4 linked regions of the Danio rerio genome follow. Each later gene encodes a partner of the first gene's protein in a complex. Links are inferred from orthologs where the notes say so. Each region holds a gene or a part of one and is shown on either strand. Other genes may lie near its edges.

Region 1 (3,500 bases):
TACGATCATCTCGTCTGTCATCCCCTCTGTCATTCCGACGATCATCTCTTCTCTCTTCACGCTCCAGATCCTCGCCACGGTTTTGCTGGCGGACAGGAGAGGGCGCTCTTTGTTCTGCTGAAAAAAAGAAGTTTTATTTTCTCCAAATAAATTTCCATCTACAGTCAAGCAAGGTGAGTTTATTTATTTAGCACGTCATACACAAATTGTAACTTAAGGTGCTTTAAAGCAAGCTTTAAAGAAATAAAAAAGGCCTAAAAGTGCAATCTCTCAGCATTGAACAAAGGCACATTTAGTCAAACATCAGTTTACCGAAAACAAAATAGTTTCATCTAGTATAGTTGCGACTCTGGACTTCTAGTTGTGTAGATAATTATAGTATTTTAGAGATCCACCAACTGCAATTTTTCATGATTGATTCTGTTTTCAGATTTTTCAGTTAGTGTGAACTGCCAATACTGATTTTTGCAATTTCCAATTTTCTTACATAGAAGTATATTTACAATAAAAAAATAAAAAATAAACCAATCATAACAGTTAAAAATAAACATCACAGTTTCCCACAAACTCCATTACAACTAAAAAGTGTTTGGCTGTGTCCGAAACCGCCTTCTACTCAGTTGGTACTGCATTTGAATTTAAACGTACTACTCGGCCATTAGAAAAGTACATTCTATACAGTATGAATGTGAAAAGTATGAATGGAATTCGGACGTACTACATCCGCCATTTTGTCATGGTCACGTGACCTACCTGCGTCAGTTGCGTCGCCTCACTTCCATTCACGTATTATGTGAATTGAATAAATATAAATTTACGCACATTAACACATGTAAATACATAGACTTAATGATGGGCTAAAAACCTGTGCAAATCAGTGGATTTTTGCACGTGCAGATTCCATGTGGGCCTACCCATAACTCATTAAGAGAATAAGCACAACCCTGTTAGACCATGTGCCAGGGCGCAAAGCGTATTTTTCAATTCATAAAATAGCAGAAGTGGATTTGGACACGCCCATAATGATTTTGCCTAGATCATTAAAAAAAGAGCCCTTTATCTCTCTAAACTCAATTATAACTGATGTTTAGCAGAATTCTTTCCTCATGCAGCAATCATTTTAAAAACAGCTCAAAAGTAAAGCGTTTATTATGACTTTAAAAAATGATCAAATTAATCAGGCAAAATTCTTATGCTGCATTCACACTAGACGCCGAAGAAGCGACAAGCACAAGTGATTTAAATGTCAAGTCAACAAAAAGACTGCGGTGCGATACACGTGAATGAGTGCGCGCGAATGACGCAACTAGCGGCATGCTTATCATGTAGCGCCTGCTGTTGGTGTCTTGGGGGAAAATCCTCCTGCCAACACAAGACAACAGTTCATCATAGTGGGCACGGCTCAGTGGGAAACACCGCTGAAAGCTTCCATCATCCAGGTATAGTTTCTAAAGGGGTTTATGAACTCACAGAGCTGGGGGCACCTCTGAAAGGATCTAATGGACTCAGACACAGCGAATCTATGCTGTTTTTCAGCCAACATAAAGCACATAAAGACAGTTATACTTTCAATAAAATCCATGTCATTTAGCAATGAAGCTAGTGTCACCAGGCAGATAGAAGCCCTACCCACGATGCGAATCGACATCTGTTGTGAAGCAGATTTAACATGCGAATGAAGTGGATTTGACGCACGAATAAAGAGAGTAAATTCAAAAAGTTCACACATCTATTTACACGTGAATAATGCAATTTATCTGCGTGTGTCACGTCTGGTGTGAACACAGTCTGAATAGTTTATTTAGATGAAGGTGTTGCACCAAATGTTTTTATGGTTGCTGTGGCTGCAAATCGTGAACATAGAGCCACATTCACACCTTGGCTGGTCAAACTGTGCATCTTTATTTGCACAAGAAAACAACAACGATTCAAGCAATTCAACATCCAAGACTACACTGTAAATGATTATGTGTTCTATAATTAGCAGCAGTAAGCTGATTGCAATTAATAATAAAAAGTACATCACTTGACTAGTCACCTCGTTCTCTGTTGTCACGGCGATCTCTCTCATTATGTGCTCCCCGTCGTTCATCTCTGGGCTGCTCTCCTCTCGGTCGGTCATCATAGCGATCGCGATCAGTGTTCCTCTCTGTGCTCCTCTCTCTCAGACCACTGCTACGTGACTCCCAGCTGTCGTGTCCACTAGCACTGCTATTGTCAGCCTGTGATGCTCTACTACCACGAGCTGAAATGGAAACATATGATTAATTTATTTATAAATTAACTCAAATATTTTAAAGAATATGACACATTTTTACACAAAATAAAATTATTCAGAGGAGATTCCTTGGATTTATGTATTTATTTACGTTAAGTGGCTGTAATCAATTTATATGGGCTGAATTTAAACAAACAAATTAATTTGAATTTTATTACACTTAATTTGTTTGTTTAAATTCAAAACAAATTAATTTTTGCAATAGTTTTGCAGACGTAAATTTTTTCAGTGTACTTTACTGCAGCATTATTGTGCATAAAACTGGAAAAGTAACAGTTCACAGCTAAAATGTGTAACAAATTAAATGTATTACATAAACCCGAGAAATTAATTATAGCGCTGTTATTGTGAGCTTTAATATATATCCAACTTCCTGCACTAAAGCACACCATACCAGTCAACCTTCCCGTTTTTCCTGTATTTTACAATTCTTTCCCGCTATCATCCTGTAAATATATATTTTTTACCATATTTCTCCCATTTTTCAATCTTTCTATGAAGGATGGCCAATCCTCCATATTCGCAACCCATACCGCCAAACCACCAGGGATCGCCCCTTGCTCTTAAATGTAAATCTGTTCTGTACTTTCATTTTATTTAGGCATAAAAACACTTTGAAATAAATATAAATAGGCAAAATTCCCTTCCTTTCCATTACAGGCACCGTTGCCCCTCCTCAAAAAGACAGTTCATGTATTGGTGCTTGACTGTCAGACACTCCATAGTGATAAATAGATGACGTTTCCCAAACACATTTTGTACACTCGATTTGAAGCAGAGCAAAGGTGGACACTCTGGGTTTTGGGTGCGTGTTTGAACTGACATAAATACATAATAATAATAATTATAATAATAATAATAACAACAACAACAACATCTAAATGTGCCAATCTTGGTGGGTTCTTTTAAACACAACACATTTTGTCTTAAATGAGTATAAACAGTTAGGAAAGCAATGGCATGCTTTCATAAGATGTGTGCATTTTTACAGTGGCACCTCTGTAAATGTAATCAAATAAAAAACAAAAAACAAATAAGAGATTCATTCACGGCTCTTAAATCAACGTTTAAATTATACAGTGAAGAAAAGGTTAATGAGACTTGATAACTTGATTGAATTTCTTTAGAATAGCTATTATTTTTAATAGGCTAAACTGTTTGCTAATTTATTAGCAGCTTTTTCTAATCTATACTAATTATTCTATCCTTTGTTAATAATAAT
Region 2 (4,129 bases), on another chromosome or scaffold:
GGCTACTTCCAGAAGGATAATACCTGGTAATATGCTAAATGCATCCATCATAAACAGAAATGCAATGTGGTCAAAGAGAAATCGATGCCTTTTTTAAGCCAAAAGGGAGCCTAACATGGTACTGGCAAGGCTATTAATTAATTATTAAAATGCATTTATTTTTCCTATTAAAACTAAGATAGATTTGATGAAAATGTTTAAATGTGTGTGTGTGTGTGTGTATGTATGTATGTATATATATATATATATATATATATATATATATATATATATATATATATATATATATATTTATTTATTTATTTTTATTTTTATTTATTTTTTTTTTTTACCTTTATTATATACTGGTTTGCCATCATTATATTCTTATTAATAGGACAGTTCACCCAAAAGTGAAAATTTACTCACAATCACTTGGTTTCATACCTTTATGAGATTCCTCTTTCTGTTGAACATTAAAGAAGATATTTTGAAAAATGTTATAATGTTGTAACTATCGACTTCCAAAGTAGAAATCAAACACTATGGAAGTCAATGGTCACAGTTTTGTAAATTTTCTTCTTATTTCTTGTTCAACAGAAACAAAAACTCAAACAAGTTTCTGACAGGTAAAGGGATGAAGAAAATTATGAGAGAATTTTCAGTTTTGGGTGAACTATCCCTTTTATAAAATTAATAATAATAATATCTAAAATATATTGTTGTCTTAATATGCATACACATGCAGGAAGATACAATCAACAAAGTGTTGGTGGGGCTGTTTACTTTGCATTTAAGCTGTTTACTTTCCATTTAAGTTTACTATACACAAGAACACAAATACATAGTAGAAAAAAATACATATGGCACATTTCTTTCTTGTTTTTCAAATAAAACATTCAATAACACAGCAATTAATTAAAAAAAAAGTCTTGAAGCAGAAAAAAATCATAAATAATGCATCACTTTAAAAAACTTCTACATGCCACTAACGTCATACAATTGTTCATGAAGCCCTCATTCATTATATTGACACTGAAGCTGAAACTACGGATTGGGGTAAAACACCTTGATATGGATGGCCGAGTTATTCCGGGTACGGGTCAGATGCTCTCCGGCCTCGTCCGGATCTTCAGGCTCCAGGTCGTCGATGAGCTCCACCGTGGAGGTGTTTGCGGCGAGTTGCAGGGCGCCCTGGCTGGACGTCTGGAGCTGCAGAGCGATGTTTATAGCCCGGTTGATGGCCAGTCCCAGGCCGTGGATGCAGATTTCCCTGTGAGCGTCCAGAAGTTTCTGACACCTCGCTAGCTGAGCCTTGAAGTCAGTCTTCATGTTGACATAGACGTCGTTCCTCCGTTTGGGCAGTTTGCGAGGCAGTCGCTTGCGGAGGGTGAACTCTATTGGGTCCATCTCAAGGGTCGAGCCCTCGGGGGCAGCCAGGACTATTGGATTGTGGGGCACAGAAGCGGACACCGGGCTTCGTGGCTCAGCCATGTCGAATCACCTGAAAGGTGCTGCACAAACAGAACATTAATTCGCGTTTTAAAGATAAGACTCGTAACAATTTTACATATAAATGATGTGTGAATTATATTTTAACGACATGTATTTAAACGATTCCCCACAATGAACCGACTCATATGAATCATCCATTCGTGAATGGCTATATACACTGGGCGTGCATTATATTTCAGGGTATAACGCTGTATATTAAATAAGATATTACATCCACATCACATTCGAGAAACATTTTGTTTACGAAGCAGGTTCTCATTTACACAAACATTTCCAATTCATTGCCACTTAAGTTAGTGGATATAGATTTTAATATATAATGTTTGATGTATAATTTGGGATTTTGAGTAAGAGTAGTACCTTGAATTAGAAGAGCTTGTTTCAGATCCGCGCTTAATTCCTGGTAGATAAAGAATCTGCTTATTTACAGATCTGTCTTATCTCTCATTCCGGAAGACGTCTTGCGTACACTGGAAGTAATACACTATGTGATTACAAAATACATACTGTTCTTTTCTTGGTGGGGAAATATCTATTTTTATTTCGTATATCAAATAGTTATAATTGAATCCTAATTAAAAATATATATGAGTTAAAATACGTAAAAATATAAAAGTACCTGTATGAACGAGATCGTTGCTAATCAGTAAATATAGTTAGTGTCTCTTATTTTGAAAATAGAAACAGTTTAGCGGCACGGTGTGTATGGTGGTACAGTCACTCAGCGTTAGTTTGCTAGATGTAATCTAAACTTCATAAAACCCCTGTTTAATCAGTACTGTTTGTTTATTTGCTGTTTAGCTCGTTTAATTTAAGCCATGTCGGACACATGGAGTCACATCCAGGCGCACAAAAAGCAGCTGGATTCACTACGAGAGAGGCTGCAGAGGAGAAGAAAAGACCCAACTCAACTGGGCACTGGTGTGTTGAGTAATTTTACATTATCTGATATCTGAAAAATAAAATGTGTATTTTTAACTGTTTGTGTGATATGTAAAAACAAAGAAGACAGTTTTATGATTTTTATTATCATATCACTTTTTAAATGTATTAAAAATTGTAAAACATCCAGGGCATATCTTTATCGTTAACAATAAAATAAGAGATAATGATGATATGTACAGGCAACGTCGTGAGTTGTATGCTCAAGCAAATATGTAGGTGAGAGAACGTTATGTATTAATAACAGGTTAAGATAAGTCCCTTTAGAGCAAATTGTAATTGTTTTTATACAGCTCTTTTGTGGTTTTACGTTTAGCTGAAAGAGTCTCCTTAAGCTGCAGGTTGTGTAAAATGACTATGAGGATTGTGCTTCATTTTTTTATTATTCTGTTAGGCAAGAGTACAACCATTCCCTGCTTTAATGACAAATGTGATGTATGAATTTATTTGTCAGCTGGAGAACATACATAACAATATGTTGTTGACAAATCCTAGACCTAAAGATGTTCGATATCAGTCCTCTGTGAGAAATATTAGCGTAACTGTTATTTTTAATGTATAATGTATAATTAATGTATCATTTTCAATGTAAAATTATATAACTTACTATTTTCCCAGTGTTGTGTTGCAGCTAGAAGGACATCCCGCTTCATTCCGCTGTGGCGACCCCAAATTAATAAAGGGACTAATCCGAAAAGAAAATGAATGAATGAATAATTTACTGTTTTGCATGTTATTGTGTGTTTTCTTTCTTTTCTTGTTTTATTTGCTAAACATTAAACTACCTTTGTAAACCACGTTTCTGATATAATCAGATTTATTTACTTGAATTCAAATGCTAAACGTGGAAATATCTAATACTATCAGAAGTGTACTATCAAAATGGTAAAAACATTTGAATGTATGCTAAAAGAAAGTTCAGCGGTGTCGAAATAGTGAGTCTATGATGCCACCTGCTGTATGAGAATTTCCTAACAGTTCTTATTTTAACAGAGGTTGGAAGTGTTGAGAGTGGATCTGCAAGAAGTGACAGCCCGGGACCAGCAATTCAGAGTCCTCCACAAGTAGAAGTTGAGCATCCTCCAGACCCAGAGCTAGAGAAGAGGCTGCTGGGATACCTCTCTGAACTGAGCCTTTCCCTGCCAACTGATTCCCTAACGATCACCAACCAGCTAAATACAGTAAGAGCTGTGTGCACTAACAGCTATGAATCTGAACCCATATCTTTTTATTATTATTATTATTATTATTATTATTATTATTAATAATATTATTCCACCCTTTTTTAGAATAACTGTTAGATTGTCAAAAAGTGTTAAAGGAATACTACTCTTTTTTTTTTTTTTTTAATAGACTCATTTAACAAGACCCCAAGAGTTAAACTGTTACGATTTTAATCATAGATATCTATGTGGAGCACTTTTAGCTTAGCTTAGCTTAGCATAGATAATTGAATCAGATTAGACTATTAGCATCTTGCTCAAAAAAAGTATTTTGATTATTTTCCTATTTAAAGCTTGACTCTTCTGTAGTTACATTGTGTAACAAGACTGACAGAAAATGAAAAGTTGCTATTTTTTAGGCTTATTAGTCTAATAAATAGCATTCTGGCATAACAATTAACAAACTTTACTGTTACTTTTATCAATAGTGCTGTGTAATGTCATTGCGCCTGCTGCGTCCATGGTACGAC
Region 3 (4,359 bases), on another chromosome or scaffold:
AACCATACAGGACATACAACTTTCTACTGTAACCCATAAACAAGCTGCAGATAACAGCTAAAAGGTAGAATGTAACGTTACTTAGTATTGTGAGAAAAGAGCCATAAAGATAGGATATATGAGATTAAGTTTACCTATAGGAGTCCTTGCGGCAGAAACGATAACAATCGCATCCGTGTTCATCTTTGCTGTCCGGTAGGTTGGTTATGTGCTTGGTAGGCTGACTCTGTCTGAATGCAGGTTGTACTGCGGAACGTCCTACTTCTCGGTGTCCCATTCATTTGATAAACGAATACGAAAGCTTTGTCGTCATCAGGACACAAAAGTAGGATGCATTGGTTTTATTTTGAGGTAGCGCCATCTAACGGTGTGGACGGCTAACTAAAACCTAAACCCCAATCTTCTCTACAAATCAGTTGTTTATTAAAATGTCACTTTACAGCAGAACATCAAACTTTTATTTAATTCATTAACTTGATGTTGTTAGACAATCATTTTGACAATTCAAGGCAGAAAAACAAAGCAAGAACAGAGTCATATTAAAACTCTTTATTGATATTTGGTCAGTACATGAAAAGGATCGAAATCAGAATTTAACAAGATACGTCTTGAAAAACTACACACAAGTCAAACAAAAACGTTTTCTCTCGTCATGTAGAGGAACAAAAAAAGTTCAACATCAGGAAACTAAGGACTCTGAACTTGCAGTTTCAAGACTTGAGCATTGATACATCACACATAGCTAAATCATTCAGAGTTCTAGCAAGTGAGCAAATGAACAGTACAGAACCGAGTGTTTATATCACTTCGACAGAGGAAAATGGTTTAAAACTCTCATTAAAAAAAATCAAATATACAAACGCAGTGTTGCTCATTTTATAAACGTAATCAGTTTCGAGCATGTAGCAAATGTACTGAAATAGGTTATGATGGGAAGGAGGGTACAAAACAAAAGTGATGCTTTTGACCACTTCTTGAACAAGAACTAACTGGCCTGAAGTGTGACGGGTTGTTTTGTTTATTTGTTGTGAGTTACTTAAAAAAAAAAAAAATGAACAGAAACTAGAAGAATGTTACAAAACAGACCCTGCAGAGGCATTGGAGGTGTTGGTGGCAACTGCTGCTGCAGATGAGTCCAGGCCATTCTGAGTGCTGTGCCGCGTACCTGCAGTCCTGCTGCCTTTGGGGACAGCAGCGGCCTCGTGGGAGTCAGCATTGGAGTCTGTATCGTTCGAGTGCTGGGTCACTGACGTCTCACTGCCTGTAGGCGAGTCCACGCTCTCATAGCCTGCACTTAGCTGAGTCACGTACCCTTCTCCACCCCTCTGGCTCACTGCATCTTCTGAGTGGTTGGAGAGTTTTGATATGCCATCATGGGTGGGGCTGGAGACAGAGGGTGATGGAGGGTAATCTTCATCTGCACTGCTTGCTTCCCTGTACAAACTAGAGCCAGATGCACCCCTCTGAGATGAGTTCCCATTGGAGGGTCCATTGGACACCCTTCCGCAGTCTTTCCCCACATTTGAACTGGAGGCGTTGGCTGGTTCACTCTGAGTGGAAGGTTCGGAGGCTGTTGAAGGGGAAGTTCTGCTTGGGCCAGCTCCACTAGAAGTGCCTTGGGTTTGGTTCATCTGAGACAGCTGCTGCCTGGTCTCCCTCAGCTGCTGCTGCAGAACCAGGATGGTGCTCTGCATGCCCTCCACCTCCTCATCCAGCTGAATGATGAAGTCATTCAGCTCTGGACCACAAAAATACATGGGTAAAAAAAGAGAACACACAAAGATGAGTGGAGATCTGCTCAAAACAATCCAGAATGGAGTTGACCAAAGAAAGACTTTCGCTCACCATCTTGGCTGCTTTTGAGCTCTTCGCTGTACTTCTTCTGCAAGGCAAGCTCGGCCTCCAACTGGGCTATGCGCCCTTGGGAAAGCTGCCTACCCAACTCCTGATTCTCCTGGATCAGCATGCGACATTTCGCCATCAGCTTCTTACCAGTCTGGCTGCAAGGGAAACAAGTCTAACATCACATCGTGAACATGGCCACAGGGTCAACACAAGTGACCATTGCATTTACAAACTAGAAGGTAACAACCAGAAATAGCTTCCAACTCTCCAATGGCCACACTGGTCTTCGGACTGGTAAATATAGTTGACCATTAGAGTATGTTTACAAGCACTAATGAAAACAGCTTGGTATTCTTAAGAAAGTCAACATGATTTAACATTGGCAGAATGCTAGCAGAGATTGTGTCTTATGTAGTCATGTAAATGCATAGGCAGCTTTTTGAAGAGTGCATGGAAAAAGATCAGGCAGCCAAATAAATGCTAATCGTGCCACAGGTATATGCTGCTTTGACAAAACATGTCAGCACAATGATACTTTCACAAATCTTTCGCAATAAGCAGTTTCCTGGTGTGCATGTAAACATACTCAACAACAATCAAGAAAATCAAGTAACAGTTTAAACAATACTGGGAAAAGATGCATGAACATTTGGCAGACCAAATCAAGTAAACCAACAAGTGCAATACATCTGAACGCATCTAACAGGATAGTACTCCAGGTAATTGACCATGGTACAAAACCAATTAGCAATTTCCATTTCAGTGACTATTAGTACCTACCTGTTAATCTAAAAGTAGCTACGAGCTACCAACAATATCTGCATCAGTTGATTAAAAAAATGACTGGTTCTATACTACATGACAAAGAGTCTTGACAGTAGGCAGATCAATTTCTTATCACTGCAAAATATTACAAAGATGCAATAAAGTTGCATGGCCAGAGCGCTTCATTTAAATTAGCAGCACCTTTAACCTATTTCCAGTAAAAAACTTGGCAAAGATTATACTGATATGTTGATGTTTTCTTTAGTATTAGAATATACTTGAGTGCTTTTCTGCCAGATACAGCAGTAACACTACTGTCCTTAAACAATAAGACTTAAACTCTCTTCAGAACGAATGCTCACATTTTACATTTAAGAGCAGTTTGAGATCAAATGTAACAACAATCAAATACAAACAATTTCCTTAAACCAATTCAGCAACTTTTATGGGAATCCTACAACTAACTTCCAATGACAACCGCTTAATTCTTTATGCCACTTTAGAGCAGTCAATATTTCAAAAGACTTTTGACTAAATATTTTCAACTACTTTTGATTCACTCAGATAGGAAATCCAACAAAGTTGAAGTGTAAGATTTTGCTAGAACATTTCTAATGAGCAAAATACCTGCAAAAAATTTGTGACCTGAGAGAAAAAAAAAAAGAAAATTAAACTTTCACTGGATGACCGAAAAATAAAAAGTGGATTAGAAAGGTACACAAGTTAAAATACAAATGATCATACACAGACATTTGAACATTGAATAGCTGTACTATTCACACATATTACTATCACACATGGCACATTTGCATTCACATCGAAAAGAACAATTATATTCGCATCCACAGCAGTGCAACAGCCAATTTTAAATAAATTCAATTCGTTTGGACCACTCTACTGTGAATGCAAGGAGTGTTTCCAGAGCAAAAACAAAGTATAATATTACGAACACAAAAAAAGATAAAAGGTTTAAGACACTGTACCGTATGTCGCACCTGTGAGATGAACATATATGAAAGTCTTTGCAGATCAGAATGTCTGATTCCTCCCCCAAAGTCTTACATCATAAAGGCTTTCTCCCCCAAAGTCTTAAGATTGCTTAACTCCACCCCCATTTCATTGCATCACACTACATTCCCGCCTCCCTGTTTTACATTCTAGATTCTTAACCAGAGTCTCAAAGCATCTATGATGGAGTTTATATGGGGGCATTTTCCTCTGCAACACATTTAGTTGGGCCATGTCATGTTTTAAATGTTCAATCAGTGACCTGCAAACTACAGTTCAACCAGCTCCAGAGCCAACGCTTTGCTCAAGTCTTTCATAGGCCGCCTTATTTGTTACAGGAAGCTTTCTAACACGGGCTGAGTTTCCGACGTGACCACCTCTTCAGGAACAGTCCCGATTCCTTCAGGCTTCTGTACCATGAGGGGTGTGGGGGGGAGAGAAAGAGCTGAAACAAAAGTGTCACCTGACCAAACTGCCGTGTTCTGTTCTGATTTTACATTACGGTATGTGTAATAGCAGGGCAATACAAAAGAAAAATGTCTTTTGTTCTGAGCTTTTTTGCTTTAAAGTCTGAGTCTCGTTGTGAGCAACACATTTCAGTCTTCCCCCACCATTATCTGCACTCCTGCAGAGGAGAAGGTGGGGGTGAATCAGGAAAGTCTTGACTTTTTGTTTGGAGGGGGGAGTTATTTTAGTTTACCTATCAGGTGTAAATTTCCAGGCACTCAGTTCATTTTGGGC
Region 4 (4,135 bases), on another chromosome or scaffold:
TCTCTCTTTTTTACTGTACATGTTTGGCAGAGCAGGTAACAACAGCTGCCCTTTACTCTAGTACCACTTCTGCTTTAGAGAGCATGCAATTAAGAGACATTAAGAGAAGCTTGCATTTAACAATACTTTAGTGTGTATTATGACTGTTAAGATGCTCCTCGCACAACGATCATGACCAGGAAGTCCTCTTCTGTTTTGGCAAGAGCTTTCGCAGAAGAATCTAAGAACTGCTGAGAGAAATCACATGGTGGAAATGCGTGCAGGACGCCAGTGTTGTCCTTATCTCTACTGCCGCCGACGGGCAAACTGATGACCCCGGCGGCCTGCTTTTGCTTCAGGTATGAAACCAGGTTGCGGAGAGGCCTCTGCGTGGATGCTGCTGGGTCTGATGATGAAGTCTCCTCAGAGCTGCCTGGAACTGCCAGTAGAACTGCGTAGCCTCCTGGGCCTGCCACTTTGATGCGCCGAGACACCTCGTCGATCTTGGGCTGGTCTAGACGAAGCCGTTGTGTGATGCGCAGCTGAGAGACTTTTCCACCCGTGCTGCCGTCGATGAGAAGGCTGGTGGCGACGCTCAGGTCCCCCTCCAGGAGGTGCATGCTGGCTGGGAAGTTACTGTTCTTGAGGAGCAGCATGCCATTCCAGGCCATGCTCAGCTTCCCCCCTGCGTCCTGTTTTGAAGCTTGGTTGCTTTTGGAGCTGCTTTCGGATCTGTCCCTCTTGGATGCACCTTTAGCTGAATCGCCCGCTTTGCGCTTTCGTTCTGCAGGGCTTGCGCCGATGCTGGACTCAGAGAGGTTGCTGTTGCTTTTGATGCGTTTCTCACCGGGAACTCGGTCCAGGCTGCTGCGGCTCTCTCGTGCTGGGGACACCCGGTCTGCTCTCGCTGGACGCTCAGAGTCACTGAAACGTCCGTCTCGGCTGCTGCCGCCTGGGCTGCCCTCAAGCGACGGGGGTCTGCGACGGCGGGCCGCCCACTCACTGCTGCTGTCAGGCGAACACTCCAGATGTCTGCCGTCCTCCATGAGCCGCCGTTTTCGTGCAGCTTCTCTGCCTGGCAGCTCTCGCTCCAGTGACCAGGCCTCTCGCCGTCGTTCACGCTCTAAGTGTTCAAGGGGCTCAAATGCAGGAGTTCGTACACGTTCACGAATAGTAGGTGCTGGCCACTCAGCCCCAGCATAGAGTTCTCTTTCTCTGAAGTGCAGTGGCGGAGGAGTCCGTTCTCTGACCCTGATGGCTTCAGGGGTGGCACGATGAACGAAAGACTCAGCCATGATTTCATAATGTTGCAGGGGGAGGGGCTGCAAGAACTGTTGTTGGTAGCGATGCTCTGTGTCAGCAAAGTCCACCCTCAGCCTCCTGTCAGGACCACCAAGAGGAAATCCACGCATGTGTGTGCAGGCTGCCTGAGCAGCGTCCAGGCTTTCATACTGAATATAAGCCCAGGTGTCCCCTTTTCTGTAGTCTATAGTCCTAATAGTTCCAAAGCGGTCAAATTCCCGGGCTAATGCAGTCAGAGGCACCCAAGGGCCAAGACCACCCACCCATAGTCTTGTGGTTGGGGTGGCTTTACCATATCCAATTTTTATGGGGTTTCGGCCCACAACTTTCCCAGACATGCTAATTTTAGCTCTGTGAGCCATGTCCAAATTCTCAAATTTAAGGAAGCCATAGGTGCTGCTCTGGCCACGAGTGGGTCTTTTAATGTCCACCTCAGTGATTGTCCCAAATCGTTCAAAAGCCCTCCTCAAATCGTTTTCAGTCACAGTAATATCCAAGTTACCCAAAAACAGTGTGCGGTTGGCTCTCTGGTCGTCCTCTGGAGAGATAAAGTCCTCCTCACGGAAAGGAGCGGCTCGCTCTGCTATGTATGCGGGCCGCGCCCTCGCTTCATAAAAGGCAAACTCTCTTTCTCTTTCCAGCTCTCTGGGCAGAGGCGGGGGTGGGGGAGGAGGAAGCCGACCCAGTGCTAACTGCTGTAACCGGTAGTCCCTGTAGCCCAGGCCGGTTGGAGAGAGCGGCCTCTGAGTATGCAAATGTCTATGGCCTGCAACAACAGAGAAATGATCCTCCTTCACCGGAGAGCGACTCCTCCGCCTGTTCAAGTAAACTGCCTCGATTTTTAAAGGACGGTCGTAGAGCACCAGCCGGCCTCGTGCGTGCTTTGCCGCCCTGGCATCATCCGGTCTCCTAAAGTTGACGAATGCGATTCTCTCGTCGTTCACTCGGCTGATTTTGACGCTCACGTCACCAAATTTTTTGAATTCATGAAAGAGGCCGTCCTCGATTTCCTCGTCACTCAGCTGCGAGCCAAGCTCGCTGATTTTTAAAGTTTTGTACTCACTTTCGTTTGTGGGAAGCGGTGCGCGCGCCTCCCCGCGCGAGTTGGTGCGCGCCGCCTCTAAGGACAGACTCGAGGCGTGATTTTTGCCGCTTGAGCTCGCAACAGGGCTCGTGTAACCGTGGTTATTACCAGTCCGACTGGATACATGTCCGTCAAATTCCCGTCCGTCTCTTTTATCTCCAAGCAGTCCCCGTCGTGCAGAGCCCCCGTCGCTTTTAGACGAACTATTGCCGTTGTTGCTTCCTCCGCCAGAATTCGAGATAACCCCCATTTTCTTACTGGTCGGATGGCTTCCTCCCCTGTCTCGTATATCATCCAAGGCCCTTGAACGTTTTTTCACCGGCGACCGCTCTTTACCTTTCATGTTAGATGTCCTCTGGCTTCACGCGCCTAACAAAACACTTTTTTAACTGTAATGCTACCGCAACGTCAACGAATTTGCACGATAAACTGAATAAATTGTTCAGTGTCCCTGCGGCAAAACAACCGCATACGCCATCTTGTCAAGACTAAAACATGACCCGCCCGTCGACTTTGATTGGTTTGAATCTCTGAGAAACGACAGCGCTATTGGCTGATCCGTCTGTCAATCTAAAGCACTAGTACAGCGCCCAGTCTCGCTGTACACCATTTTAGCTTCAAAAGCCAAATGTTTACTATAGCCACTTTATAAAACACAGAGGTGACATTCAACTAACCACACATATAGTCTTTGAGAACATGTACTGCCAATATTATATTTGCTTCTTAAACCATATTTATTAATCATCTCGATAAATCTACAAAGAGTGCTTTGTATAGGCTATTTTTAAAATTAAACGGTGTTTAACTTTAATAGATGCTAAGAGTCTGAGTTTCACCTACATGTTATTTCTTATAAATTTAAATGAACTGTGCAATCTTTATAAAACGTAAGTAATCCAAATAAAAAAAAACTAAAACATTCTCGTTGTTCACTTGATGTCCAACAGATGGTGGTGTTTGCCTTTCACAGAGGTGAACGGACGTGAAAAAACAGCCTTTTAACCATGTCGGTCAGCTATAGATGAGCATTTTCCATGGGTTTTAGCCATTGGTTTTAGCCTAATAACTGAAATAATTTCTTAACTAAAACAATGCAGATCTCTGATTATATGCCCATGTCTGTGAATTTTTTTTTATGTTAAATTGTAAAAAATAAATAAATAAATAAATAAATAAAAGTAATGTTATTGCCTTTAAATTAGTTAAAATTTATCTTAAAACAATTTAGTGTTTTACAATTTGCATGCTTTACTCATACCCTCAGGGACCATTATAGTTTTAACTTATACAATTATCAATTCAACCATCAAAATTAAAAAAAATTACCCCCAAATTATTATTTTTTTCAATGAAGAAAAATAGGAATATATTTATAGGACAATGCTTTGAACTTAATACAAAAACGTCCAAAACCTTAAATGAGTGATAATAAAACAAAATACAACTATTTTAAAAACTTTATCATGCACATAAACACATTCATCCAATGTTGATTCACCAGAAGACAAATTGAACAGCCAACGTGTCATTTATTTATTTTTTACAATGCACAAACTGCATTCAAAATCAAACACTTTCTTGAGTATTTGAGTAGGCTACATACTTTGAAAACACGCCCTACATAATGAACATAGTATTGTTTGAACAATCTAGAACTACAAGATTAGCCATGTTTTAGTGTCACGTGCCCTACATCTTCAGTTACGTCACTTCACTGGCATTCACAGATCCTCTCATGTTGCCTTATGGAATAGTCCCTTGGAAGCA

What was found.
Region 2: zc3h13 (region 1) and mettl3 share a complex: the UniProt entries of both Homo sapiens proteins name them as parts of the WMM complex. The link is inferred for Danio rerio from reciprocal best matches to the Homo sapiens genes ZC3H13 and METTL3.
Region 3: the proteins of zc3h13 (region 1) and wtap are in contact, whole or in part, in a cryo-EM structure (PDB 7VF2), measured with the Homo sapiens proteins. The link is inferred for Danio rerio from reciprocal best matches to the Homo sapiens genes ZC3H13 and WTAP. Residues at the interface, in NP_001317494.1 of Homo sapiens: Arg1512, Pro1514, Gly1515, Ala1516, Ala1517, Leu1518, Lys1520, Phe1521; in NP_001257460.1 of Homo sapiens: Asp202, Glu203, Asp206, Phe207, Gln210.
Region 4: zc3h13 (region 1) and rbm15 share a complex: the UniProt entries of both Homo sapiens proteins name them as parts of the WMM complex. The link is inferred for Danio rerio from reciprocal best matches to the Homo sapiens genes ZC3H13 and RBM15.

The regions. Positions count from the first base shown.
Region 1 is NC_133176.1:33,368,725-33,372,224, reverse strand, and holds part of zc3h13 (zinc finger CCCH domain-containing protein 13), read right to left. Parts: intron 2,246-3,500; coding exon 2,039-2,245; intron 118-2,038; coding exon of another isoform or gene 115-117; coding exon 1-114. UniProt on the Homo sapiens protein: Associated component of the WMM complex, a complex that mediates N6-methyladenosine (m6A) methylation of RNAs, a modification that plays a role in the efficiency of mRNA splicing and RNA processing.
Region 2 is NC_133182.1:21,870,000-21,874,128, reverse strand, and holds the start of mettl3 (N(6)-adenosine-methyltransferase subunit METTL3), read left to right. Parts: upstream 1-1,473; 5' UTR 1,474-1,490; exon of another isoform or gene 1,491-1,493; intron 1,494-1,854; exon of another isoform or gene 1,855-2,193; intron 2,194-2,210; exon of another isoform or gene 2,211-2,295; 5' UTR 2,296-2,312; coding exon 2,313-2,415; intron 2,416-3,429; coding exon 3,430-3,617; intron 3,618-4,129. Other genes in the region: pop7 (ribonuclease P protein subunit p20), read right to left, coding at 1,027-1,473. UniProt on the Homo sapiens protein: The METTL3-METTL14 heterodimer forms a N6-methyltransferase complex that methylates adenosine residues at the N(6) position of some RNAs and regulates various processes such as the circadian clock, differentiation of embryonic and hematopoietic stem cells, cortical neurogenesis, response to DNA damage, differentiation of T-cells and primary miRNA processing.
Region 3 is NC_133195.1:33,717,484-33,721,842, forward strand, and holds the end of wtap (pre-mRNA-splicing regulator WTAP), read right to left. Parts: coding exon 4,319-4,359; exon of another isoform or gene 3,594-4,318; intron 2,001-3,593; coding exon 1,846-2,000; intron 1,739-1,845; coding exon 1,074-1,738; 3' UTR 535-1,073; downstream 1-534. UniProt on the Homo sapiens protein: Associated component of the WMM complex, a complex that mediates N6-methyladenosine (m6A) methylation of RNAs, a modification that plays a role in the efficiency of mRNA splicing and RNA processing.
Region 4 is NC_133183.1:26,684,673-26,688,807, forward strand, and holds the start of rbm15 (RNA-binding protein 15), read right to left. Parts: upstream 2,856-4,135; 5' UTR 2,709-2,855; coding exon 147-2,708; 3' UTR 1-146. UniProt on the Homo sapiens protein: RNA-binding protein that acts as a key regulator of N6-methyladenosine (m6A) methylation of RNAs, thereby regulating different processes, such as hematopoietic cell homeostasis, alternative splicing of mRNAs and X chromosome inactivation mediated by Xist RNA.